4 separate regions of the Mus musculus genome follow, and regions 2, 3 and 4 are each reported to be linked to region 1. The links are microRNA targets in miRTarBase. Many come from high-throughput screens and were not tested one by one. Region 1 holds a microRNA gene; each other region holds the end of a gene's coding sequence.

Region 1 (3,120 bases):
CGGTGGTTCAAACCAGGAGTCCAGCGATGGTTCACAAAAGGAGTCAAGCTATGATTCAAACCCGGAGTTAAGTGATAATTCAAACCAGGAGTTAAGCGATAATTCGAACCAGGAGTCAAGCGACAGTTCAAACCAGTCAAGTGATATTTCAAACCAGGAAGGGTCGGAACCACTCAGTGAGGCATCCGATTATAGCATGGATGAAACAATCAACTCATCCGAGACCCAGTCAGACCAAGATGATACTGACCTGGGAGATGACGAGGAAGAGGAGGAAGAGGAAGGTGGTGAAGAGGAAGGTCAGCCCAAGAACTCTCCAGAAGAAGTCGTGGCCACCATGGGGAACGTCATCTCGCTGTTCCTCCGGATGCAAGACCTAAAAGAACAACAGAGAGTGGCAGAAAGGCTCATGATGCAGGCTATCAACGAAGGTCGCCTGCCCTCCCTCAGGCCCTTCTCTGGAGATCGCAGAGACTACCATGAGTTTGTCGTGCTCTGCCAGATGACAATGCAGAACTACCCAAGTATGCTATACAATGATGAGCTGCGGGTGAAATTCGTCATCCGCCACCTGACTGACCTAGCCTTGGAATGGGCCAACGACCTCGTAGAGCAGAACAGCCCAGTGATAAACAACTTCTCAGCCTTCCTGGAGGCCATGTCAGAAAAGTTTGAGTATCGGCAGACCCTGCGTGTGGCGGAAGACGCCATGTTCAACATCAGGCAGGGGAACCGCTGTGCGGCCGATTACATCAATGAGTTCCGGGGTCTGATACCCACCTTAGGCTGGCCAGATGAAGTCCTGCAGGCCCACCTGTGCCAGGGGCTCAACGAAGAGATCAGGCACTATCTGTTCCGGATCCCTCAGCCGAATTCCCTAGACAACCTGATTGTACTTGTCCTGCAACTTGAAGAAAAGCTGGCAGAGAGAAGAGCATTACTCAGGCTGCCACCTGAGTCGCGCCCAAGAAGCGTAGCCTGGATGGATGCTCCCGCCCCAGAGAAGTGGAGGGTAAGCAGCTGGCTGCCCAATGAGTTCCACCCAGACATTGATCGCGATCACCTCTTCTTACTGCTCTTGGTGAGAGTGGACCCCTACCACAGTGTCGCAGTGCGGGCCCTGGTGGACTCAGGAGCAGAAGGGAACTACATGGATGAGAGGTTTGCCCAGGAACACTATGTGGAACTCTATGAGAAGCCTTATCCACAGATAATCCAAGGTGTGGATGGCATCCCAATTGGCAATGAACCCGTCTGGCTGTGCACCGAGCCCCTGGTATGTGTCCACCAGAAGCATTATGAGTACATCGAATTTGACATCTTACCTTCGCCCAACTTCTCCATCGTCTTAGGCATGAAGTGGCTCCGAACCCATGCCCCTGAAGTCGACTGGATGAGAGGCCGGTGTACCTTCCACTCTCCCTACTGTCTGCGGAATTGCTTCACCCCACCTCCACCATGCATCGCACTAGAGACATACAGCATAAGCCTACTGCCCGGATTGCCACACACATACTCAGACCTGGCCGACGTGTTTAACCCGAGGGAGGCAGATGATGAGACTTCCGACCAGCCAAGCTCAGACGGATCCGATGATCTTTCTGAATCAGAGCCCTCTGAGCTTCAGCAGGCTGGAGACAGTGATCAAAGCGGCGTCTTTTACGAGTCTGGGGCCCGAGAGACTTTGGAACCTGTGAGCGCCAGGATGCAAGAGAAAGCCAGGCAGCAAGAGAAAGCCAGGGAGCAAGAGGAATACTGGATACTGTATGACATGCTGACTGACAGACAAGACTACACGCAGATGGTACCAGAGCTATTCGACCAGCTACATGGAGCGGCATGGTTCACAAAACTGGAGCTGCTTGGGATTAAGGAAAGTGAGATGAGGCACACGGTCACACACACGGAAGACACTTGGAGAGCATCGTTCGGTTTCGGCCTTCACCAGATGAGATGCTACCGGCCCTTCACAATGAACTCATACTCTGACGAAGGGAACAACATTGTTCACTTCATCCTAAAAGACATCCTAGGGTTGTTTGTGATTTGCCATGGCAGAGAGGTCCTGGTCTACTCAATGAGCCAGGAGGAACACTCCCAGCATGTCCGCCAAGTCCTGGTCCGCTTTCGGTATCACAACATCTACTGTTCACTGGACAAAACTCAGTTCCATCGCCAGACCGCTGAAATCTTGGGCTTCAACATATCCCCCAAAGGGGTGAAACTGAACAAGAACCTTATGAACCTCATCGTGGGGTGCCCTGTCCCTGGCAGCAGGAGGTGTCTTCAAAGTGTGATTGACCTTGTCTATCCCTATCGCCACTTCGTGGAGAACTTCGCTGTCATCGCAGCACCCCTAGTGAGACAACTGCTGAGTTCAGAGCCCTACTACTGGGGAGAAGAGGAGCAGGAGGCCTTGGAATCCCTGAAGAGGGCTTTCCGCAAGTCGCCCGTTCTCTATCACCCTAAGCCTCAGAACCCATTCTACTTGGAAACAGACATCACTGGGTCATTCCTGTCTGCCTCCCTGGTCCAAACCGACGACGAAACTGGCAAGAAATCTACCTGTGCTTTCTATTCAAGACCCCTCTCTACAATGGAGGTGGAGTACCCTCGAGTGGAGATGAGGATCCTTCCAATCCGGGCTGCCTTCATGGTGTGGTGCCGCTACCTGGAGAACACCGAGGAGCCCATCATGATCCTTCTCAACACAGAGGATCTAGCCTCTCTGAATAATGACAGGCTCACCGTACTTCTCCCCGGGCATTGGGTCTTCTTCTTCTCACACTTCAATTTTGGTGTTATGGAGATGCCAGCTGAAGGTGACACACAAGCACTCTTCCGCAGATGTTGGAACCAGAGAGGCTTCAGAGCAAGGTTTCTGCGCCCACTGCTGCTTATGTCCATTAGGGCAAATCTAAGGTACTTTGACAGATCCTCTGAGACTGAGGATAAAGAGGATGATGAAGAAGAGGAGGAGGAAGATGGTGAAGAAGAAGAAGGGGAGGAGGAGGAAGATGGTGAAGAAGAAGAAGGGGAGGAGGAGGAAGATGGTGAAGAAGAAGAGGAGGAGGAGGAAGATGATGAAGAAGAAGAAGGGGAGGAGGAGGAAGATGGTGA
Region 2 (3,120 bases), not on the chromosome of region 1:
ATTTACATTCTCTTAATTTTATGTGCGGAAGTTTCTCAGAACTTTTTAACTGGCTTAGTATTAATAGTTAAATTTGCTTAATTAAAGCCTTCCCAGTTTTCTAGCTACGTTTACAGTAGTTTTTTGGTTCCTTTTGAAGATCTTTGGATGGATTACATCAAGGAAGAATTGAACCATCCCTTCGGTAAACCTGAGAACTGCGGACAGATCTATTGGCGAGCCATGAAAATGTTGCAGGGACAGTCAGCAGAGCTGTTTGTAGCTAAACACGCCATGCACCAGGCTGGCCACTAGTGGTCGAGCACCACCAGTTGGCTGAAGTTGTGATGCAAGTCTCGGGGCAGGTTTGTGATGAGCTGGTGTGTGAATTGTCGAGAGCTGGCAGAAGAACGGATTGATTTTTGTAACATACTTTTACTTGGTGTTAATCTTTGGTTCCAGAAATGAGTACTGCTAGTGCCTGTTAAATCTAAAATACACAGAAATCATATGATTCAGCTTCAATTCTTGTTCCAGGCTAAGCATATACAGCTCTAATCTAGACTAGGTGTGAGGGACCCAGTTCAAACCCAAGAGAAAGTATAGTTTTGTGTGTTCTCTTCTTGTTGTGAAAGCCTGCATGATACCTGTGGAGATAGGAGGGACGAGGGTGTGGATGGACTGCCTCAACCCTCCAGCTCCCGAATACTGATTAAGAGACTTTATTTATGAAAGCTTAGTCCTTATGGCTTAGCCATGTTTACCACCTGGCTGATCACCTCTCCTCAGCCCCGTACATTCAAGTTCCAAGTCTGGCCGGCAGATCTCCCACCTCTCAATTCTTCCCAGAGTTCCGATCTCTTCTTGGATGTCCCACCTTTACTCTCCTGCCCAGCCATCAGCTGTTTATCAAACAAATCAGAAGTGATAGAGGAGAATGTGTACAATCTTCGATGCAGGTGATGCTTCATAAAAATAACAGTACCAAAGTCCGGACAGTACTCTACTGGTTCAAAAATCAACACTGAATACTACAAAGACAGCCTTTACAGTGCCCAAGATTATCCCAACACTAGGGCAGAGCAGAGCAGAAAGTCACTTAGATCACCGAAGTGAGGCTGAACAGTGACTTCTTTTCCTGTATCTGAATTGGATCTGTACTTTTAAATCAATCATTCAAGAAATAGCGCCTTCCTTCACCTGCAGGAAAAAGGGAGACTTGGAAGATGAGTGACAGAGAAGGAGGCGCTGGGTATTGGGAGAAGTTTGTCTTTTAAGAAGGTTGAGGTGGCACAGGAAACGATTTACCCCAAGGATGGACAGGCCAAGAATGGCATGGAGGATGCCCAGCTTTGTGGCGGGGGAGGGAGTGGGAAGTGCCTCAGTAGGGGGTGGAGGGGCAGATTGGCACAAAGGAGGGCATTTGGGGAGTAAGGGAGGAAGCTGAAATAAATCCTTTCATTTTTTTTGATACTGGGTATTTGTTTGTTTGTGATAAACCTAAATTTGCATTTGAGGCAAGAGCTTTACCACTGAGACAGACCCCAGGCATCTTTTTATTTTCTGTTTTGAGCAGGTCTCACTAAGTTTTGGCTGGCCTGAAAAGTTCTCAGGTCTAGGCAGGCCTTGAACTTTGAATGCTCTTGCCTCAGCCTCTCAAGTGGCTGAGGTTACAGGCCTCAACAGCTGGACCTTAACATTTTGATATCATTGGGAAAGTATTTTGAACAAGTTACTTAATAGTAAGCCTTAATTAATATTAAGTTCATTTAATAACATGGAAAACACCTAATGAATTCATAGCATTCCCTTGTCTTAATTAATCTCCTGTGGCTATAGTTTTTTAAAAGTATAAACGATATTGGTGAAGATTCTTGTCAATCTTTGGTTACATTCACTGGCACTTCCTTAGGGGACTTACTTGACAGTGGAATTACTGAATTAGGTAAAAGAACAAAATTTGCCAATTTGCTCTTTCCAGCATCACATGCAGGAGGCAACGCCCTTGTCTGCACTGGGGATTACGTACTTCCTTTTCATCATTTTATAATTCACCACTCAGTAGATGAAAGCGGTACATCATCACTTAAGCTACTTTTTCTTATTAATTTTTGTCTTAAAAATACATTGAGAGAGCCAGGGGAGATGGCTCAGCGGTTAAGACTGACTGCTCTTCCAGATGTCCCAAGTTCAATTCCCAGCAACCACATGGTGGCTCACAACCATCTGTAATGGGATCCGATATCCTCTTCTGGTGTGTCTGAAGACAGTGTAGTCATAGACATAAAATGAATAAATAAATCTTTAAAAAAACAACTCATTGAGAATGTTAATCTTTTGTTTGTCGTTCATTTCTTACAGATAAGTTTATGCTTCTCTTCCCTTTGTTTGCTGTTTTTGATGCGGGAAGATTTGTTTTGTTTTGGTTTTTATGAGACAGGGTTTCTCTGTGTAGCCCTGGCTGTCCTGGAAGTCACTTTGTAGACCAGGCTGGCCTCGAACTCAGAGATCCGCCTGCCTCTGCCTCCCGAGTGCTGGGATTAAAGGCGTGCACCACCATGCCCGGCCAAATTTTTTTGTGACTCTGTCCCTTCTCCCCAGTACTGATCAGATCTATGACCTCACACATGCTATGTGAACACGCTTCCATGCTATACCCTCAGGTGTTGATTTTGATTTTAAGATAATATTTATTTATTTTATATATATGAGTGCTCTATCTGCATGCACACATGTATGCTGGAAGAAGGCATATCACATAATGGTTAAATGAGCCACCATGTGGTTGCTGGGAATTGAACTCAGGACCTTTGGAAGAGCAGCCAGTGCTCTTAACTGCTGAGCCACCTCGCCAGCTCCACCCTTAGTTTTAACGGCCTTTTCAGTTTCTCCTCTTGCTTAGTACAACTGGATCTCTTCCTCAAGCAGTTGACTAACTTCTGTAGCACTGGGTAGCCCATCTGTTTGTTCTCTTCTTGGTTCATCATACGACCTTCAGACCCTTAGTATATATTGAATCCTTATGCATGTTAGAATATATGGTGCATTTTTGAACCTTTACTGTGGTTTTTTTTGGGGGGTGGGGTGGGGGGGTGAGTGGGTGTTAGAGACAGGTTCTCCATGTAACCTTGACTGTCCGGG
Region 3 (3,120 bases), not on the chromosome of region 1:
CCAGGACCACCAGATTAGAGATGGCACCAACCATAAGGGGCCAGGCCCGCCACATCAGTAACTAAGAAAGTATCCTATAGGCTTTTATACAGCGTGATCTTAGGGAGACATTTTCCCAATTGAGGCTCCCTCCTCTCAGATGATTATAGATTGTATTAAGTTGACATAAAACTGTCCGGGACACTAACAGCGTTGAGTAAAAAAGTTCAGGTTTTTATAAGAGTTATCACTCACTTCTTGAAATTCATTGTCTAAACTTAAAAGTACTTACCCACAAGTACTGGATTTTCAGGCAGTTAGTTTGGAATAGAAACTTCTCTGGTTAGTCCTAAATTCTGTTCTTGATTAAAGAACCAAATGCTTTCTTAATCCTAGGATGTCTGGAGCCCGGATTGTTGTTCATATGGCTCATGCCCTGAAGCCAGGAGAGTTCGGTCTGGCTAGTATTTGCAACGGAGGAGGAGGTGCTTCCGCCCTGCTGATTGAGAAGCTGTAGACAACCTGTTTTAGGAGACAGTTCCATGTGACCGGCTGAAGTAAATGTGACTCCCTTGGGCCAGGTTATATTCAGCATAAGCTATTTCATTTTTTATTATTTTCTACTAAAATTTTTAAAAAATCATATCCAAAAAACACACTTAAATTACAAATAAAAATTTCTTCTTTATTTTATTTTATTTTTTTGTAAACTTAAACAGTTGGATACTCTATTATTTGAAATACCAATATAGGTATTTGAGGCATGGCTCAGCAGTTAAGAGAATTTGTTGCTAGTTGGGTGGTACATGGCTTTAATCCCAGCACTTGGAGATAGAGGCAAGTGGATCTTTCTGAGTTTAAGGCTAGCCTGGTCCACAGAGCTACTTCTATGACAGCCAAGAATACACATAGAAGTAGAAACTCTGGAAACAAACAAACGAACAAAAGAGCATCTGTTGCTCACACAGAAAACATTTGGTTCCCAGGACCCACACTGGGTGACACAGCAGGGAGGACTTGGACACTGCACTGCACGCAGAAACCAGAGAAATGAGGTCCTGTGCTTTTCTACCTCACTGCTGCCGGTACAGCAGAAGCCAGCCTTGGGGATAACCTGTAACCGGGTTCTCTCCTGATGAAGGCAGGGTAAAGTTCCAGCATTTTTACATCTAAATACACCAAAGAAATGAGAATATCACAATAGCAGCAACAAAGTTCCTTGACTCTCCCAAGCCCCAAAATAATCTAACATCCATGGACTTCTATTCTGCCATTAGAATGAACACTGGCTGTTTATGTTTTGTTTTGTTTTCGAACTTTAATCCTTGGACAGTCAAAATTGGTTTCAAATAAAGTTATGTGAATGAAAATTTTAAAAAATATGGTTAAGTCTTCCAAGTGAGCACAAGTTATAGCAATCTATGTCCACCAAGCCAACATAGAAGCTCTTTAAAGGAGTCCTGCAAACAAAACAGAGCAGGAAGCAGCAGTCACAGACCTAAGAGCACAACAAAGAATACATTCCAGGAGAGGAACTGAGAGCCAGGAGAGAGACAGACCATGCCCAACTCAGTAAACCAGAAGAGCTATAGAATGAGGAAGGAAGAAAAAATAGTATTCAAGCCAGCCAGAGAATCAACAGAATTACTGTAATGAGAAAATATCCTCAGCCCAAACTTTTAATGGGCTCAACATAAAATTTAAAAATACTATCTCAAAAACATGATCCACTGGGTGTGCATGCCTTTAAATCCCAGCACTTGGGAGGAAGAGGCAGGAGGATCCGAGTCTACATAGCCAGCTTGGTGTACATAATGAGTTCCAAGACAGCCAGGACTACACAGAGAAAAAAATTCTCTCTTGAAAAGATCAACAAAGTATTGTCTTACAAGAGACCTCATTGGCAAAGACTCATAGACTAAAAGTGGCAGAATGGGAAGCCACGTGCTCTCAAGTAGCACAAAATCAAGTAGGTGTAGCTTTGTCCGTCAGTTATAAAAGCTAGGTTTGAAGCAGCTTGTCAGAGAAGACAAAGAATGTCACTAAACATCAATGAAGGGAACAATCACCAAGAAGACAGAAGAGGACTGGGGAGGTAGCTCAGTCGGTAGTGTTGGCCCAGCAGACCTAAAGCCCTGGGTTCTTTCTTTCTATCCCTGCACTACAGAAACAAGCAGGGAAGGAGGTGGAGTAGAGACTCCATAGAGAGAAACGAACCGAGAAACGATCCAAAAAACTTGTGGTGTGCTGCAGTTTCGTACCTCTTCAATGGACTCGGGCTGATTGGCAAAGTGATGTCAGCGAGACAGATGCTCATGCTGAGACAAGACCCAGGCCCGCAGAGGACTTGGGATGTTTAGAGGCCTGTGATGTTAGGCCCAGCAGACAGTGACGGAGGTTTGGTTGGGCTTGCTTATATACCTAGCTGTGCAACACTTGTGGGTCTGGAGTCTTCACTGGTATTTCCCACTACCTCTAGTGGGAGGTGGGCCAAAAGGGATGTTAAAGCGTTCAAGAACCATCATTAAAAATGGGTGTTGAAAAACATTAAAGTTACAGATGTGGATGAACCAGGAAGGTTCACAAAGTCATGAGGAAAGAAAGAGCAAAGACAAGACTCAGGCTGAAGGTAAAGGACCACATGGTTGGGAAACAGGCAGCCTTAGAGTTAGAACAGCTCAGAACCTGCTCAGCATAGTGTATGCAGCTTGTTAATAAAAATACCATGTCTCTGTTTCATTTATTTGGGAGCTAAAATGGGCTAGAGGTGGCACAGCAATGCCCTGAAGTTATTTGGGAGCAACAGGGACATAAGAAATCCCTCAAATTACTTTTACTTTCACCTTGTACAAAAAAACAGTTTTAAAATGGATCAAAGAAGGTAAGATGTTGATTTATGACTTGAAGCCTTGAAACTCTACAGGAAAACAGGAACAATACAGGAATAGAACAAATACTGACCAGGATTCCAGCAGCCCAGGAAAGCTGAGCAAGAACTGAGAAATGGGATTACACAAAATTGAAAGCTCAGCACAGTAAAGCTAATAGAATGGAAAGACAGTCTACAGAATGAAATACTCACTATTCATCTGACAAACTGTTAATATTCATGATAAAGAATAAAAAATAATAACCTAGGGG
Region 4 (3,120 bases), not on the chromosome of region 1:
GGGGGCAGTCTATGCATCTGAACTTATCTTTTGGATAAGACTTGTAATCATGCATTTAAGTCAGGGAAGGACATCTTAAGTCCGAGGGACCCGTGAGCTGAAGGGGAGGCTGGGGCATTTGCACAGTGTATACCTAACCTCCAGTGGAAGCCAAGATTTGTATGGATTCTAAATCTGCCCTTTGAGAGGGAGGAGGTGCCTGCACCCAACCCTCACGGAGTTGCCTCTCTTCTGGGCTTTTGAGCACTGACTCGTTTCTCGAGTGGATGACAGCTAACACTTGGCTTCTGCTGTCTCTTCAGTGTGAGAAGTGTAACCTGCACTTTCGTCACAAAAGCCAACTGCGACTTCATTTGCGCCAGAAGCACGGCGCCATCACCAACACCAAGGTGCAATACCGCGTGTCGGCCGCTGACCTGCCTCCGGAGCTCCCCAAAGCCTGCTGAATGAAGCATGGAGTGTTCCTCGCCCTTTCCTCTCCAGCCCCTTCTCAGAATCTACCCAAAGGATGCTGTAACACTTTATACAAAGGTCATCCCATGATGTAGTGCCTCTCTCATCCACTAGTGCAAATCATAGTTGGGGTGGGGGTGGGGGTGGGGTTTGCGGGACCGGGAGCCAAGGCAGCTCCCCTTCCCACACTGCCATAAAACATTAAGAAAATACTATTGCTTCTTCTCCTATGTGTAAGGCAAACCCTGTCAGCAAAAAGCAAATTCATTTTCTATATCAAAGTAGGGGAGAATGCAGAAGTTCTGACTTGACAGGTTGCAACCGAGGAATGTAAATGATGTGTGGGAACAGAGGTCTCTTTTGTATGTAAATGTGTATTGTTTTAAAAGACAAGACTTCAGTATGCTGTCAAAGAGAAGGCTTTAATTTTTTTAACCAAAGGTGAAGGAATATATGGCAGAGTTGTAAATATATAAATATATATATATATAATATAAATATATAAACCTAAAAAGATATATTGAAAATATAAAACTGTGTTAAAGGCTCGATTTTGTATCTGCAGGCAGACACGGATCTGAGAATCTTTATTGAGAAAGAGCACTTAAGAGACTATTTTAAGTATTGCGTCTGTATAAGTAAGAAAATATTTTGTCTAAAATGCCTCCGTGTATTTGTATTTTTTTGCAAGTGAAGGTTTACAAATTTACAAAGTGTGTATTAAAAACAAAAAGAACAAAAAAAAAAGCTGCAGAAGGAGAAATGTATACTTTTGTTCCAGTTTTCAGTTTGTACATACCTGTAATGTGTCCTCACGGTGCCTTTTTACACGGAAGTTTTCAATGATGGACGGGTGTGCGCCATCCCTTTTTGAAGTGTAGGCAGACACAGGGACTTGAAGTTGTCACTAACTAAACTCTCTTTGGGAATGTTTGACTCCTCCCACATTCTGCGTCATGCTTGTCGTTATAATTACTCCGGAGACAGGGTTTGGCTGTGTCTAAACTGCATTAGTGCGTTGTAAAATAGAGCTGTACAAAACATAAGAATAAAACATTGAAAAGTCGAGCTGGCTCTTTCTGAGGATCTGTCTTTGCATGGAGAGAGATCAGAGTGGTCTTTGCTTCGGTGGGAAATGTTCTAGGGGCGTGGGAGTGGGGCCCGCTGGCCAGTGAGGTATGAGAGAGGAGCTTGGCCTGAGAGCCAGACTGGGGCTTGTCCAGGTAGCTTCCTGCCTATTTTGATCCTGAACACCAGGATCAGCTACAGAGCCCAGACACTAGGCCTGGAGGTCAAGTAGGGTATCTGACCCAGCTCCAAGCCTCACTCTTAATAACTGCAGTCCTTGTTCTTTAGACACAAACGTCATAGTCTCTCCAACCTCTAACGAGTCATAGCCTCTCCCACCTCTGGGATTATTCTTTTCTAAAGTAAGAAGTCCCATCCTGGCTCTGGCTTTAGAAACATATTTTCTTTACTTGGCTACGCCTGGCAGGTCAAAGGCATCCGGCTGAAGCCACACACATCTCTCGGCATCCACGCATTCAGAGCCTCCTGGGTGACCGACAGACATTCACAGACTTGAAAGCTTTATGATTGGCCAGAGGCCAAGCAAGCCTCTACCCCAGTGTCAGAACTCAGCCACCTCCTCCTGTGTGCGTCAGGTCGCTATTTTTGCTGTGGGTCTCTGTCCCAGCCCATCCAAGAGTAGACTGGATTAACGAGACCATTTATGCATCCGTGATTCAGATGTAAGTTCACGCTGGCCTGCTTTGGCACCCGTGGATATTTTACCTCAGAAAACCCCAAGGACCAAGTATGATTGACAGGATCTGAGAACTGGGGAGACAAGTGTGGTTCTGGTAATGGGCCCAGAAGAGAAAGCCTGCGTCCCCTTCCTGTTCCTGGGTGGCAGTGGGGAGGGAACACGTGCCTACTTACTGGTCAGCTCCTGGCAGTGGTGTTGCTGCCGTCTCTGGGCACGTGTTGAGAAGCTAGGGGAGTTGCCCACCCGAAGTCCCAAGAGAGCTTCAGAAAGTCACGCCACCTTCTGCCAACCGCAAGGCCTTGCAGCTCGGGTTTCCTTTGAAAATGACTTTAAAGGACTTGCCAGCTCGAGGCCTCAACTCACCCTGCTCTTTGAAAAGGGGGAAACCGATCCCTCAGCTCCCATAGAAACCTGGCAGAAGAACTTACGGACTAGACAGCTTCAGGAATGACAATTCACGGGCCTGAGGGAAGCTGGCCTCAGGCTCCTTTTGCTCCCGAGAGTCTGTTTTTGTACCATTCCTATTTATGAGGGAGACGGAGGAGCAGACGGGGAGGGTGGCGTTCCGACAAAAGGGAGATCAAAGACTGAGCTACTGCAGTCAGCCGATGATTAATAATAAGTAAAAGGGAAACATCTCTAAACGGAGTTATTAAGAGTATAGCCCACAGCAAAGGGGAGAGAGAATTTTATTACAAAATCATGGAGTGAATGCATTTTCACACACAGACACACACAGACACAGACACACACACAGACAGACAGACACACACACACACACACACACACACACACACAAAGGTGTCTCAAACACTAGGATGTGTTTAAGACTCTCTGCATCATGGAAGTTTTTGAGGGAAAGGTTTACTAGGACCGCAGGTTGAAGTGTGTATTGAGGA

Evidence for each region. Region 1 holds the annotated microRNA mmu-miR-127-3p (UCGGAUCCGUCUGAGCUUGGCU, at 1,572-1,593, opposite strand). A microRNA usually pairs through its seed, bases 2 to 8, with sites in the 3' UTR of a target mRNA and lowers its output. Matches are read on the target gene's strand: a 7mer-m8 pairs with bases 2 to 8, a 7mer-A1 pairs with bases 2 to 7 and ends in A, and an 8mer does both.
Region 2: miRTarBase lists Utp6 as a target of mmu-miR-127-3p. Seed matches in the 3' UTR shown: 8mer at 2,214-2,221.
Region 3: miRTarBase lists Acat1 as a target of mmu-miR-127-3p. Seed matches in the 3' UTR shown: 8mer at 1,759-1,766.
Region 4: the mRNA of Bcl6 is a reported target of mmu-miR-127-3p. The part of its 3' UTR that is shown has no 7-base or 8-base seed match.

Annotation. Positions count from the first base shown.
Region 1 is chr12:109,591,361-109,594,480 of GRCm38, reverse strand. It overlaps Mir127 (microRNA 127), which reads right to left and starts at 1,635; the gene lies at 1,566-1,635. It overlaps Rtl1 (retrotransposon Gaglike 1), which reads left to right. Exons shown (of 2, transcript NM_184109.2): 2 at 1-3,120. It overlaps 6430411K18Rik (RIKEN cDNA 6430411K18 gen), which reads right to left and starts at 2,944. Exons shown (of 1, transcript NR_002848.3): 1 at 1,630-2,944. It overlaps Mir433 (microRNA 433), which reads right to left and starts at 2,766; the gene lies at 2,643-2,766.
Region 2 is chr11:79,933,129-79,936,248 of GRCm38, reverse strand. It overlaps Utp6 (UTP6 small subunit processome component), which reads left to right. Exons shown (of 19, transcript NM_144826.3): 19 at 140-2,293. The coding sequence ends at 294. Among named protein-coding and RNA genes, the nearest start is that of Utp6, 28 kb to the left of the region's middle.
Region 3 is chr9:53,579,921-53,583,040 of GRCm38, reverse strand. Acat1 (acetyl-Coenzyme A acetyltransferase 1) reads left to right here. Exons shown (of 12, transcript NM_144784.3): 12 at 376-2,519. The coding sequence ends at 496. Among named protein-coding and RNA genes, the nearest start is that of Acat1, 29 kb to the left of the region's middle.
Region 4 is chr16:23,963,451-23,966,570 of GRCm38, reverse strand. It overlaps Bcl6 (B cell leukemia/lymphoma 6), which reads left to right. Exons shown (of 10, transcript NM_009744.4): 10 at 303-1,521. The coding sequence ends at 446. Among named protein-coding and RNA genes, the nearest start is that of Gm31527, 23 kb to the left of the region's middle.